Rhinolophus ferrumequinum: one gene and its partner. The protein of the gene in region 2 purifies or fractionates together with the protein of the main gene of each other region. This does not show direct contact. Links are inferred from orthologs where the notes say so. Each region holds a gene or a part of one and is shown on either strand. Other genes may lie near its edges.

Region 1 (6,953 bases), on a different chromosome or scaffold from region 2:
AAACATTCAGCAGGACGAAAGCCCTCCCTGGGCCCTCCCGCTGTCTCATGGGTCCACTACTGGTGGAATGGTCCGGAAATCCTTGAGCTCTGGAAAGGTCCCTGGTCAGTCCTTGGGGAACGGAGGTGGCTACATCGGAAGAACCTGCTCAAGTTTGGTTCTTGACGTCTGGGGAATCCTTTCGGGAAAGATCACTTCAAATTCAATAATGAGGTCCCCACGTTTCTCGGGTGTTTTGGGGAGGGGGAGGCCTTCTCCAGGAACTTTTCGCCGCATGCCTGGCCTGATGACATCTTTGAACACGACGGGTATGGTTTTGCCTTCCAGAGTGGGGACGTTCACAGTACAGCCACACAGAGCCTTCGAAAGCAAAGTGACAGTGTTAGATGGAGATTACCTTAGGAAGCTCCACTCCTGCCCAGAAACTATCTGGGTAGAGTAAGAGCCATCAGACCTCTGTAGCTAGGCCCTGCCCTCCAGATCTACCCAGGTCATCAGCATGAAAGCTCCTGAAAAACAGAGTCCTGGCCAGCCTTGCTCCTGCCGCACCCCCAAGTCTGGAGGCACCAAACACTCAGAAATAGCTGTTAAACAAATACCGGGGCAGCTGGATGGCTCAGTTAGAGCATGAGCTCTTAGCAACAGGGTTGCCGGTTCAATTCCCACATGGGCCAGTGAGCTATGCCCTCCACAACTACATTAAAGACAAGGAACTGCCGCTGGGCAACCGGATGGCTCAGTTTGTTAGAGCGCAAGCTCTTAACAAGGTTGCCGGTTCAATTCCCACATGGAATTGAAGGAGGGCCCTGCCGTGTGCTGTGCCCCCCCCACCCCCAACTAGAATGAAAACTGCGACTGGACTTGGAGCTGAGCTGCGCCCTCCACAACTAGACTAAAGGACAACAACTTGGCTTGGAGCTCATGGGTCCTGCAGAAAACACTGTTACCCAAAAAAAAAAAAAATTAAGAGAGATATGAAAAAAAAACCCCAAACTGCTGCAAAAAGCGCTATCTGCTATCTCCCTCCACAGACACTGCCCCACCTAGTGCCTTACCTCCCGCAGGGTGACCCTGGCTGGGTAAATGACATCAGAGCCATCTCTCTTAAAGATATTGTGTGGCTTGTCCTTTAAAACAAAGACGATGTCGGCTGGAATGTTGTTGGAAGTCTGGTCTCCCTCCTTGGGGAAGGTGATTTTGGTCCCTTCTTTCCACCCCCGTTTCACTTCGATGGTCAGGATTTTGTCTTCATTGCGAATGCTCTTCCCATCGGGGTTCAAACGTTTATGGGAGATCTTCATCTTCTTGGTACAGCCGCTATAGATCTCTTCGAGAGAAACCCTAAGGTCATGGGTGACAGGGGGGTCTTGCTTTTTTCGGGTGTGCTCTTGGGCAGGGCGAGACCGTCCAAAGCTCAGGTTGGGGAAGCCACCCATGCCCATAGGGAAGCCAGAGAATGAGTCATCAATGTCCATGCCTTCCTCCCCGTTCCGCTGCCCAAAAAAGTTGTCAAATGGATTTCGGCCGAAGAACTCAGCAAACATGGCATGAGGGTCTCCATGGAATGTGTAGCTGAAAGAGGTACCATTAGCACCACCGCTGCTCCCACCACTGGGACCACCGCCCTTTAGGCCTGAAAGACAAAATCCCAAGAAGTCAGAGGACTGGCCAAAAGCTTTCCTTAAGGGAAAAGTGCTTGGGGGTCACTGGAAGAGAAATTTTTTTAGCCTCTCAGTAAAGAACAAGGAAGAACCTGAGCTTTTACCTCCCACAGTAGCAGCAGAGACAGATTCCCTATCCAAGTACTTCAGTATGGCAAAGCAGAGGTGAGGGAGCTCAAGCTCTGACATGACTTTTTTTAGGGCCCACCCACATCCTGCCACTTCTTCACTGACCTACCCTCCCGACAATAATACAAAGACTTAACAAAGAATTCACTGAGATCAGATGAAAAACGCACATCCAGGGCCAGCTTTCAGCTTTCTAATTCTCACACCCTGGCACCGCTGCCATTATCCTTATGTGAAAAGTCACTTCATTTGTTAACACCAAGCCCAAAAGCCAGCGTGAGTCATCCACGGGCAATTGGACAAAAAGGAAAGCTCCTTTTTTCTTTCCTGAGGAGAGCTACCCTACGAGGCTGGGCAGAGTGGGTCCCCTCCACTCCCTGCACCTGGACGGCCACTGTGGGCGCTGGCAGCCATTTGCTTCCCCGGCGCGGGGCTGGGTAAGCACTTTACAGGAATTAGCTCACTCTGCCCTCCAGGGGCCCACGAGGGAGATAAGGGACAACTGGCGGTCCCCTTTGCAGTCTCACTGGACGCAGGTGGTGGCCGGCTATCAGCCAAAGGCCTCGTCCTGCACCCCTGCGTGGCGGGGCCCCGCACCTCTCCCAGGTGAGCTGGGGCCAGGGGTACGCAGCGCCACTAGCTGAAGAAGCCTCCGTTCCCTTCTCCATCCGCACCCGGGGGCGATCGGGGACGTGGGCGGAAGCATCCAGGGAGGGGCAGCCTCTGACATGCTAGAAGCTTCTGCGCCAGCGGCACGGCCAGAGCTCCACCTCTCATCCGGCGGCTGCCAATCCGAGGACGGAGGCGCCCATGGCCAGAGGGCGGGGGATGCTCGCCGCCTGGGGCAGCCACCCCCCGCCCCCCCGGGATGCTGCAGCCTTGCCGCCGTGCCTCTGTTTCCCCACCTGTCAAACGGCGGGGGCGCGCCCCCGGCCGCGCGCGCACGCACCTTCTTCCCCGTAGCGGTCAAAGATCTCGCGCTTGCGCGGGTCGCTGAGCACATCGTAGGCCTCGGCGATCTCCTTGAACTTCTCCTCGGCGCCGGGCTCCTTGTTCTTGTCTGGGTGGTAGCGCAGCGCCTGGCGGCGGTAGGCCCGCTTGATCTCCTCGTCTGACGCGCCGCGGGACAGGCCCAACGTCTGGTAATAGTCTTTGCCCATGGCCCACGCCTGCGGTCCGCCGCCCAGCTGTAGCCGTCCCCAAGCTCCGCCGCCGCCGCCGCCCCGTCCCAGACTCTATATACCCGTCCGGCGGAAGCTTCCAGAGCCCGCCAGCCCCCTCCAGAGCCTTCCGCCCCGCCCCCTGCACCGCACCGACCAATCGTCGCCACCCAGCCCGCGACGCTTGACGTTCGTGGAGGGGGCCGCGCCGCCAACGGCTGTCCGCGCGTGGCCACGCCCCTTCCCGCTCGGTCCTCGGCAACGCCTCCCCACGGCGCGCGCACCTCGAAGGCCCTGCCCACCCTGCGCGAGTTGCCAATCGCGACCTGGTTGCACTGTCCGGGATGGCCGGGATGACCCCTGCCGCGCGCTTCGCCCCCTGCGTGGATCAAGAGGTTTCGACGCACTGCTAGGGAAGGGCGGCCCCGCCCCTTCCCCGGAGGAGGTGTACCTACCGGCTCGCATCTCACAGGGTCGGGCCCCGGCCAAGGACTTTGGGCAAGTTGGTGAATGTCTTTCTGTCCCAGATCCCCCTTCTAGGAATAAAAATACCCACCCGCCTTCTTGTCCCTGCAATGGGGAGAGTGCAATTGGGAGTCCTAGGACTATGCCTGTTTTCATCAGACAGGTCCCTCTGTAAAGCGAGCTGAGGACTAGGGACCAAAGGTCACTTCCCTGAGAGGTCTTCCCAGTCGCGCTCCTCAGGCCTTTCACTTCACCGTTTTCTTAAGAACACCTGCCAATAAAATCTGAAATTATCTTGTTCCGTGGTTTTCATGCTAAATGTCACCTGCCTCCCAGCCTGTGATTCCCACCTCCAGTGTTTGGCACCCAGTTGCAGTGGACACTTCATAAATATTTCTGGCTGTTTTGAATGCACCTGCTTCTTTTTCTCCATTACCTTTATGATTTGGGGGGACATGGGTGGGTCCTACACCTCTAGGGCCTCTGTTTCCTCTTCTATGGGGCACATGATTCCTTCTGGCTCTGAGAGTCTGAGGTGCCTGTGGTCAAGGACAGGGCTGATTGGGAAAGGAGGCTCAGAAAGGGGTACCACCTGGGAAGGGGGTAAGGAAAGGGGGGGTATAGGCAGTGGTGGCTGCTGAGGAGGGTGGTTCTTGGAGGTACTTCTTGGGAGGTCAGGGCTGTGTGACACTAGTTCTGAAGTCAGACAGCCTGGTTTTGTTCTGGTTCCATCACTTCCTGGCAGTGTGACTTTGGGCTGATTACTGAGCCATTCAGGGCCTCAGCTTCCTCATCTGTACAATGTGGGTAGTGGTTGTACCCACTTCGTAGGCCTTCGAAGTAGATATAAATCAACATTTGTAAAGTGCCTGGGATAGGTCCGGGAAGCACTTTCAGAGGGGTAACTAAACCCTCTTGTTGAATGGGGGGCTGCTGAACTACCCAATTCCTGGCAGAATTCCGGGCAGCAAAAAGTCCAGTGATTGCTGCCCTTGTGTAGGCTGGGACTCCTGAGGAAGACAACCAAGGCCTTCCCTGCAGTCCAGCAGAAGGACTCCGGCCCTCTGTGGCCACTCACTGACCCTGGGGTAACCGTGTCAGTAAGGACTCTAGACTAGGATATACACTGGCCAACCTGGGAGGATGAGTGTGGGATGGGTGTCCACAGGCACAGCATAGCAGGGGTCCTGAACCAGTCATGGAGAAGGGAGAGAGTTTGACTTTTAAAAAGTGACGTACATAGACAGCAGGAGAATCATCATGGAGAAAAACTCAGAGTTTGTGGACTTCGTCACACTTACATGCTACTGTGTTTCCCCACAAATAAGACCTAGCCGGGCAATCAGCTCTAGTGTGTCTTTTGGAGCAAAAATTAATATAAGACCCGGTATTATATTATATTCTACCCAGTCTTATAGTAAAACAAGACCGGGTCTTATATTAATTTTTGCTCCAAAAGACACATTAGAGCTGATTATCTGGTCTTATTTTCAGGGAAACACGGTAGTATTTACTTTACAGGATAAACTTAATTTCGAGTTAACAAATGTGATGGCCTTCAAAGATCTTCACATGGCTCTGGGTGTTGTTGTGTTTGGGGGCAACTTTAGGGCCTCCCCTTTCCTTTAATAAACGTGGCTCATGTTCAGGAAGTTTTCATTGTTTAACCACCCTTCCCCCAAAAAAAAACCCCACAAAAAATTCTCCAACACTTCTTTAGGATTCTTTGACCTGGACACTCACTGGGCACTTTAGAATGTTACTGGAAAAGTGGCTTCCACTTCCAGAAACCTCAGCAGAGCTTCAGCTCTCAACCAGAGAAGATGTGATGGTTAGTTTTATGCATCAACGTGGCTGGGCTATAGTACCTAGTTGTTCAATTAAACAATCAAAGTGTTGCTGTAAAGGTATTTTGTAGATGTGGTTAGGTTAACATCTCCAATCAGTTGACTTTAAGTACAGGGGATGACTCTGGATAATGAGGGTGGGCCTCATCCAATCAGTTGCAAGGCTTTAAAAGCAAATATTGAAAGGCCTTAAAAGCAAATACTGAGGTTTCCCTGAAGAAGCAGCGTCAGCTCCTGACCAAGAGTATGCAGCTTGCTGGTCTGCCCTACAGATTTCAGACTTGCCTCACCAGCCCCTATAACTGTGTAAGCCAATGCCTTGAAATAAATTGCTTAATACACACACACACACACACACACACACACACTCACACACACTCACAAACACATACAGCCTACTGGTTCTATTTCTTTGGTAGACCCCTTGCTGATACAGGAACTAAGCGGGTGAGTCTGGCATCAGTCAGCCTCAGTTGAAATCCTGGACCCACTGTTTACTTATTTATTATCTGTGAGATCTTGCACAACTTGTTCGATCTCTTGGAGCATTAGGTGTGTCCTCCATAAAATGAGGATAAGAGTAGGTCTTATCTCCCAGGGTTGCTATGTGGATGAAATTGAGGGACCAGGAAATGCACATTATAATAACAGTTAACATGAATATGACCCTACTGTGTGTCAAGCCGTCTCCAAGCTCAGTGTGTATTAACACACAATAATCCTAGGAAATTGGCCTAGTGTTACCTCCATTTTACAAGTGGGGAAACTGAAATTCTGAGAGGTCATGTGACTTGCCTGAGGCCACCCAGGGAGTAAAATGCTTTTAAGTGTACAGTGTTTGGCACACTGAGTACTTCTGGTAAGTGCAAGATGTGATTCAGATGATGATAAAACCTTAATTTAAAGAAAAAGCATCACCACTCTTTTCAACTCTTACTATTAAAAAGGCCTTCAAAATCATGACAGCCATATGAGCCAGCAATCCCAATCCTAGTAGAATACCCATGTGAAATGAAAATCCATGTTCACATAAAACCCATGAGCCAATGTTTATCAAGGTTTTATTCGTAATTACTGACAGCCATTAAAACCTAAATGTCTTTCAGTAGGTGAATGGATAAACTAATGTGATCTAGCCACACAATGGAATACTATTCAGCCATAAAAAGGAATAAGTTACGATATAGGAAACAATGAAGACAAACCTCAACTACATTGTTAGTGAAGGAAGCCAGACTCAAAAGACTATATACTGTGTGATGCTGTTTTATAGGACCTTCTGGAAAATGCAAAAGTATTGGACAGAAAGCAGATCAGTGGTTGCCAGGGGCTGGGATCTGCTATAGAGGGATACGGGGGAAATTTTTGAAATGATAGAAATGTTCTCTATCCCCACTGGTGGTGGTTATACCACTGTCTGTATTCAGAACTAGATACTGAAAAAGGTGAATTTTACTGTATGTAAATTATACTTCAATAAAAAACAAAGAGGAAGAACATAGAGGAAAGCTCCTGAGAGATGTCTGTGGCCCGGAAAAGGAATTGGTGCTCATCACTACGGGTAGTTTCCACTGGCTAAAACTCAGTCATATGGCCATATCTAACTGCAAGGGAGGCTGGGAAATGTAGTCTAACTATGTAGTAACTAACTATGTAGTCAGGAAGAGGAGAAAATAGGCTTAGTGATAAAC
Region 2 (7,157 bases):
GTGTACATTAGCCCAAAGTACCATGAGGCCAGGCTACAAAAGGACAGAATAGAATTGGAACAGCAAAACCTACAACTGGCTCATTTTGGCTGCTCAAAGTCTGACTCCTCTTCTTGGACTTCCTTACAGAGGACTCCTGGTACTTCTACAGAGTTATCTCATCCTAAGTTCAGGCCTGATTTGTTTCTCAGAGCCCAGATCCAAGATAAGGAACAATCTCCTCTTTCTCCTCCCTTCACCCCTCATCCCAGGCAATGTACCCAGTTCAATATGTACCAATCCTCTTTTCCTGATTTAGTCTTTCCAAATTCTTTCCACGTGATTTACAGTGGCTGGGTCCATTCTTAAAATAACTAACTATCCCAGTTTTCCCAAAGCTTTCACAGTTTCAGCACTGAAATTCCTGTGTCGTGGTAAACCCCTACGTCCTCAGCAAATTGGGACAGTTGGTCAACCAACCTACTTTAGGGAAAATACCGTCTTCAAGGTGATGGTTCCCCAGGAGAATCCTCTGAGAATACAACAATCAACATAATAAATTATTGAGTCTTAACACCAATATGTAGGCATCAGTGGTGTATCCTAGGATGATCTTTTCTTCTGCTCACCTGGTTCCCTCTTTTCAGGTCTTCCTCCAGTGTGAGGAGATTCCATAGTTTTGAGGGTTTCAACTGATATCTTGTGATCTAGTCTCTGTCGAAATAAACGCCATAAAAACAAACAGCAGTGTATTGTCACATTGAAGCTTAAAGCTACACTTGAAACAGTCTTCTAAAAAAATTTATCTGTGAAGAAAACCAAAAAAGAAAAAAAGGAATAAAACAAAGGGAAAAAAAGAGAAATTTATCTGTAGAGATGCAACTCTGCCTGCAGGATAAGGCATCTTTTTTATGAGTTCAACGAGAAGCCTCGCCTGAGCTTCTCCAAAATCTCCATTTTCAGATGATGATTTAAGATTTACATTTGCATAACTTTCAGGTGTTTTTCCCAAAATGAAATCTCCAGCTTTTGAAAAACTGAAAATTTCTTGTAGCTTTAAAATTAGTTTCTTTAGCTTTTCTCACTGAAATCAAGGATTCAAAATACCGTTATTTGGGTCGAGTTTGAATGAGGGCTGTAGTTCTAGACATTTATGTCTCACAAGCCTCTCCAAGAAGGAAGCTTCTCTAAAGCACGTATTGTAGAGGTAGAAACTCAGCCCTGAGATGACAGCAAGGGAAAGTCTATTTGTCTCATCTGGCTGCAGCAATGTGTCAGAGACTACTTATTTAATTGTGACCTAGCATCCATTTGACCCTGACTTTTGGTGGGTACGTGGCTGCCCAGGATGAAGACTAATTCCCAGTTAGGTGTTGCTGTATGACTAAATTATGGCCAGCAGAATGAATGTAAGTGGAAATGTCCTGTGCTATTTTCAAGATATGTCCTTATGGCTAGGAGACATGCCTTTCCTCTTTCAGATTCCTCTTTCGGATTGGAATGTTGACATGATGGCTAGAGCTTGAGCAGCTGTCTTGGACCTGAGATGAAAGCTACTTACTGAAGATGTCAAAGCAACATGATAGAAGAAGCCTGGTTCCTGATACTGAACACCTTACCCTAGGCTGTACATCTCTGGATTTCTTTTGTATGACAGAGAAATAAACCTCTGCTTTGCTTCCTTCTTTTTGTTTATGTGCAGTAGGACCTAATAATAAATAATAAGGTTATAACTGCCCCTTTCCAAGAGCAGAAATGTTTGGAAACAACATACATGTTCTTTTTAAAATAAATTTAATTTTTATTTATTTTTTCGAGGAGTGCACAGTTTACAGTGGCCCATGCAGGAACCGAACCAGCAACCTTGGTTTTATTAGCACCACGCTCTAACCAACTGAGCTAATCAGCCACCCCCAACAACATACATATTCAATAATGGGGAGCATGGTCAGTATATCCACTCCATGGAATATTATGCAATTGTTAAAAATAACAACAATTAAAGACTTTAATAGGGAAATAATATAATGAAAAACAATAACACTATTGTATCTCTGCTGAAATTAAGCTTAAATAAATTGTGTAGGGTATTTCCAAGGGAATATGAACAAATTAAAACTTTGGAGGCAGATTATTTTTTACTTTTTTCTCTTTTTTATTTTTCCTTTTGTTTTTCTTTGGAAGCAGATTACTGAATTCTTTCTTTAGACTTTCATAAATATTGCTGCAACGTTCACTCATTTTAAAAGTCCCCTAAAACAGTGGTAGACAACAAAAGCCCAGTGTTTTGTCCTCATATTATGGATGCTGGTCTCATCCTGCGTTATACATATGAGTTGTCCCTTAAATATTTTCACAGACTTAAAGGAGGAGATGTAAAAAAAAAACACCAAACAACTTTTATTTATTTAAGTGTGTTTTTCCAGGACCCATCAGCTCCAAGTCAAGTAGTTTTAATCTAGTTGTGGAGGGCGCAGCCCACAGTGTGGGGATCACAAGGGGCACAGGCCCATGTGGGGATCCAACCGGCAAACTTGTTAAGAGCACAGCGTTCTAACCAACTGAACTAACCGGCAGCCCCAAGGAGGAGATTTTTTAAAATTACAATAAATTTCAAATAAAGCTAATGTTGTAAGGATGTGGTCTTTCACTTTGATTAGATTATACACTCTTTCAGGGCTGGGACTGGCTGCTTTTTATACCTTTACTTTCCAAGCCTCTTAAGAGAAGATGAATTATTATTGCTCACATTTAGTAATTCATATTTGTAGTGATCTATGTGATTTATTGAATTGTACCTAGGATGTACATGTTAATCCACATTTGTGCTGAGTATATTAGTTTGTCTACTAAGAGACCTCAGAAAGAGGCTATTGTGACGATGAACATGTCAACACACTTTGTCAGTTTCTGAACCCAGAGACTTTTGATCATTATTTAAGAAGCATATCTATGGTTCTAGGCCTTTGAAAGAAAATAAAAAAACAGTACGTGTGTTACTTTTTTTCTGCTTTAGGTCAGACTACACAACCCCTACTTTTCCCAGCTTCTCTTAGCTATGCTTACAGGACCTAAATTGGAGCTTTAATAGATTTTTCATTATGTGTGATATAATCAAATTTGTTCAATTGGGATAGTGTTGGGAATCCATAAGGTACTCGGTGAACTGTGTTAAGTGTTACTGTGCTAAGACTTGCTGTTCGACACTCTCAAGAAAAACTCCAATTCTCTAAACAACTTGGCCGGCAACCGACACAGAAAATGGCAGAAACACAGGCTTCTTTACTCCATGGCTTTTGATCTGGGTTTGTTTATTTATGTCTTGGACAGGAGCCGGACCTTGAGTTGGAGCGGATATGTTTTTCGGCGTTCGACTGCACTTCCTTGAACGATTGCGCGGGCACTCCTTCTTTGATGTCTGGGACGTTCGTGTATTCGGTGATCTCTTGCGCCGTCTTCTCGCTTGATGTCTCCTGAGCGGCGGCGGCGGTGGCGGCGACGGCGGCGGCGCCGGGTCGAAAGCTGACTTATCCGCGAGGCCCTGCGCTCGGGCTGCTTTCTCCCGCTGGTCTGTAGAGCAGACCCTTGCTTCATTCCTGGATCTTCTTCCTCTCTGTGGTTCAGGCCACCCGCTGGGCTGCAAGCCGAGCCCCCGCCCGCCTTTCAGGTAGGCCCGGGAGGAGCCTGGGAGGCCCGGCCCGGCATCCTTCCGCCGCGGGGTTGAGAAGACCTTGGCGCCGGCGGGTGGGCGGGCGGGTCGGCTGCGGAGACGCGGCCAGAGGAGGAGCTACCCGGCAGCGTTCGGGGGCGCGGTCGGAGAGGCGGCGGGGAACTGAGGGAGAAGCCGGAAGGAGGGAGAGGTGCTGAGGCTGTCCGGTGTGGTGCGGTAGGGAGGGGATTTGGGGTCTCAGGCGGGTGTTGGCACCCCCAGTGTGGGGGAAGATCGCTTTCCAGGAACGGATAGAGCTTGGTGCGCACTGACCCTCCTCCCTTTCTCCTCTCCCTCAAGGCTCCCTGTCAGGACTCTGGCACTGAGGACTCCTCCTCTGAGATCGGCCTTTGAAGGGACCCTTGAGTAGGTGGAGGCAAATGGAACCAGGCCCTCTGGCTTCTCTGAGCGAAGTGTCATGGTCTTGCCTTTTTTGGGTAGGGAAACTGAGGCTGAAGTCTGGGACGTGACTTTCCCCATATCCCCGACAGATCATTTCTTGCATTTACGAGTTCACTACCCCTCCCCCCCATTTTACCAGTCACTTTTTGCACATAGTGATTTCTCGTTTAATTGTCTGTGATCCTGCCTCCCTAGGAATATAGATTTTGTCACTGGAGGCTTCAGAAGTAAAGGGGCCATGCGATCTTTTGGCTGTTTTGCTTTCCAAAGTCTGGATTGTTTTCGCGAGAGGAGCAATGACAATTTCTTTCTGTTTCTTGATAGAAAATTTTGTTTGCTGTCCAGTTTGCTTTCTGGTTGATGTTTATTTCTTCTCCTTCCTTTCAGCCTGTTTCTCAGTGGACATCTTTCAACTAAGAAAAAGATGTTAAGAGGTTAATGTCCAGCAGAGGATGGTCAGCATTTTGAAGTCAGACATTTGTCCTGAGAGAGTTTGCTTTCTAGGAACAATCCAAAGGAAACCCAAAGAGCCTTTTTTCTGAACAGTTTTATTGTTTTTGATTAGTGGTTTAGTTACTGCATATACTAGAGTTACTGCATATAGTACTAGAGTAGAAATCATTCAAATATTGAGATTTTTAAATTGAAAGTTAACATCCTGGGAACTCCGTTATGTTTTCCTTTTGTCTCCAAACTTGGAAACTTTGGGGACTAAGTGTTCTTACTCATTTTATTTTAATTGGATTCAGTGTCATGATCCAAATTTGCTTAATTTATTTATTGAAAAAAATAATCAGCTGCGAGGTCATTCTAGGTTGAAGAAGTATTTCCGTTGTATGGAGGATCAGTAAGAGAATGGTTTTAAGGGAGAACAGACTAAATTCCCAATCCTTGGATGGAAACTGTACAAGTCTGTGTTCCTTTAACAGTTTTAGAATTTTCATAAATATATATATATATATATATATATATATTTTTTTTTTTGGTGAGGTCAGCAAGATTTAAATGAAAGGCCCTTGATCATGAGTGATTTCTTAGTTACCAGAACTTCAGTGCTCCTAGAAAGGGATTAACGAAGAGCCACCAGATGATGTTTATGGAGAATCTAGATTGGGAAGTTATGCTTAGAATGTGTGTTCTCTGAAAAAGTTTTTATGGTAGAAGAGAATTTATATCAGAGGAAATAATTTAGAGAAGGAGGTGTCATCCCCTGGGGATTGCTAGGTTCTGCATAGAATGCAGAGTTAATGTAGAATCTCAGTGACTCTTAATGAATGCTGAATAATAAATGGAGTTTGCTATGAGTGTCACAAAGAAATGTGAGAACATTTTGTTATGTTTCTATAGGAAATAGCAGAGGGTTAAGTTGAATTGAGGACAAGAAATTTGGTTGTGATGATGGGTGGTTACCGGGATCGAGCTTCTTATCAGCTTCTCCCTGCTTTGTGGTAGAAATGCACTCAACTGTCCCTTTCTTGGTTAAATCTTGTGTTGTTGTTGTTTATAAAAATGTATTTGAGCCAAACAGAGGATATACACCTGGAAGCGAGATCTCAACAGACTGAGAAAAATGCTTTAGATCTGTGGTGTTCTGTCAATGTTGTGTTCTGTCAGTGTCAGATCACTATACTGGCTTTCCCTTTCAGAATTTACAGACTCAGAATGTGACTGAATTATTTTGTCTTCTCTTTTAATAAGAAAGTTCTTAGGGGTTGTTAAAGATGTGAACTTGTTTAAATGTCTTCTAGGACTTGCCCTGGGAGGAGCTATGTGTATCACTTGAAAAAGGTTAGTTATGTATATCACTTGAAAACAAGTAGTTATTTCTATTAACAGAGTAACGACTTAGCTTTAATACTGTATCATTTTCAAAATACTTTCAAGGTGTGTTAGGAAACTTAGGAAACATTTTTGATCATGCTGCTTTTAGCTGTTTATTAATACTGAATCCATTCATTTATGATCTTCTAGGGTCTTCATGAATGTTGGCAGTTTATGTTGACAATTTATCTCACTTATCTCACTCTTAAAGGAATTGGAGAAAAGGTTTTGTTGTTAGCACACTTAAGTCTCTTTTTAAATGTATGTCTCAGCCTTGATAATTTTGGAATGGGAAGCCAATCTTTTTGCCCAGGGGTTTGGTTTACAAAAAGAAAAGAAAAGAAAAGACAAATAAATAACCCTTAAATTCCTTTAGTCATAGCCATTCTTGTTTCTGTCTCCAATTGTTCCTCATAAACCCAAAGAGAACTTTCTGTTTCTTGTCATAATTTCTGTCTATACAGAAGTGCTATGGTACAACCTGTCCTGTGATTTGGCGGTAATTTATGTTTTGTATTTTCAAGTCCCTTCTCCCCCAAGTTAGTTAGATCTATTGTTTTCTCTTTTTCACAAAGCTGAGTTACTGATAGATAAAAATTTTGTGATCAGTTATTGTCAGAATGTATTTATGTGCTCAGCAGTATGTGGCAGTCTGCCAAAGCGATGTGGTAAGAAGATTAAGGAATCAGGAGACCAGGGTTTAAGTCCTGTGCTTACCAGTTTATTAGCTGAATGATCTTGTATAAATTATTTAAGGAGACCGTAGGGAAGGTCACTGTCCTTTATTGAGCATTTACTATGTCATGTTCTTTACATATGTTTCTCATTTAATACTCATAATAGTCCTTTAAGGTAGATATTATTTTCCCCATGGGTACTGAACTCAGAGTACATAAGTTGACCAAGATCACACAGCAAGTATATACTATAGAGGAGCTGGACTTTAAATCCAAGGCTTTGAATGCTTTTATGAGTCTCTGTTTAGAGAACGAGAAAGCCAATACTTCTATCATAATAACTTATGTTGAAAAAAGTACATGAAGCTGCTTTGAAAAAGTTAAGTGTTCTTCAAATATTACTTCTGTGCTATCTTGCAGCAGCACTGGACAGATGTCATCTAGGTTCTTGGACAACTTCTTTCAAGGCAGCACTTTGCTTGAGAGTTAGGGAAGATAGAGGTGACAAACATCAAACCAGCGGTTGGAGGAGCTTAACTAACATGATGTGGAAAGGAGTCAGTGTTTGG

Evidence for each region. The genes of interacting proteins can lie anywhere in the genome.
Region 1: the proteins of AMBRA1 (region 2) and DNAJB1 purify together in Homo sapiens (affinity purification with mass spectrometry, with the first as the bait; 3 studies listed by BioGRID). This does not show direct contact. The link is inferred for Rhinolophus ferrumequinum from reciprocal best matches to the Homo sapiens genes AMBRA1 and DNAJB1.

The regions. Positions count from the first base shown.
Region 1 is NC_046301.1:47,637,542-47,644,494, reverse strand, and holds the start of DNAJB1 (dnaJ homolog subfamily B member 1), read right to left. Parts: upstream 3,062-6,953; 5' UTR 2,951-3,061; coding exon 2,740-2,950; exon of another isoform or gene 2,696-2,739; intron 1,634-2,695; coding exon 1,056-1,633; intron 361-1,055; coding exon 130-360; 3' UTR 1-129. UniProt on the Homo sapiens protein: Interacts with HSP70 and can stimulate its ATPase activity. Stimulates the association between HSC70 and HIP. Negatively regulates heat shock-induced HSF1 transcriptional activity during the attenuation and recovery phase period of the heat shock response.
Region 2 is NC_046294.1:14,390,920-14,398,076, forward strand, and holds the start of AMBRA1 (activating molecule in BECN1-regulated autophagy protein 1), read left to right. Parts: upstream 1-4,103; 5' UTR 4,104-4,106; coding exon 4,107-4,125; intron 4,126-7,157. UniProt on the Homo sapiens protein: Substrate-recognition component of a DCX (DDB1-CUL4-X-box) E3 ubiquitin-protein ligase complex involved in cell cycle control and autophagy.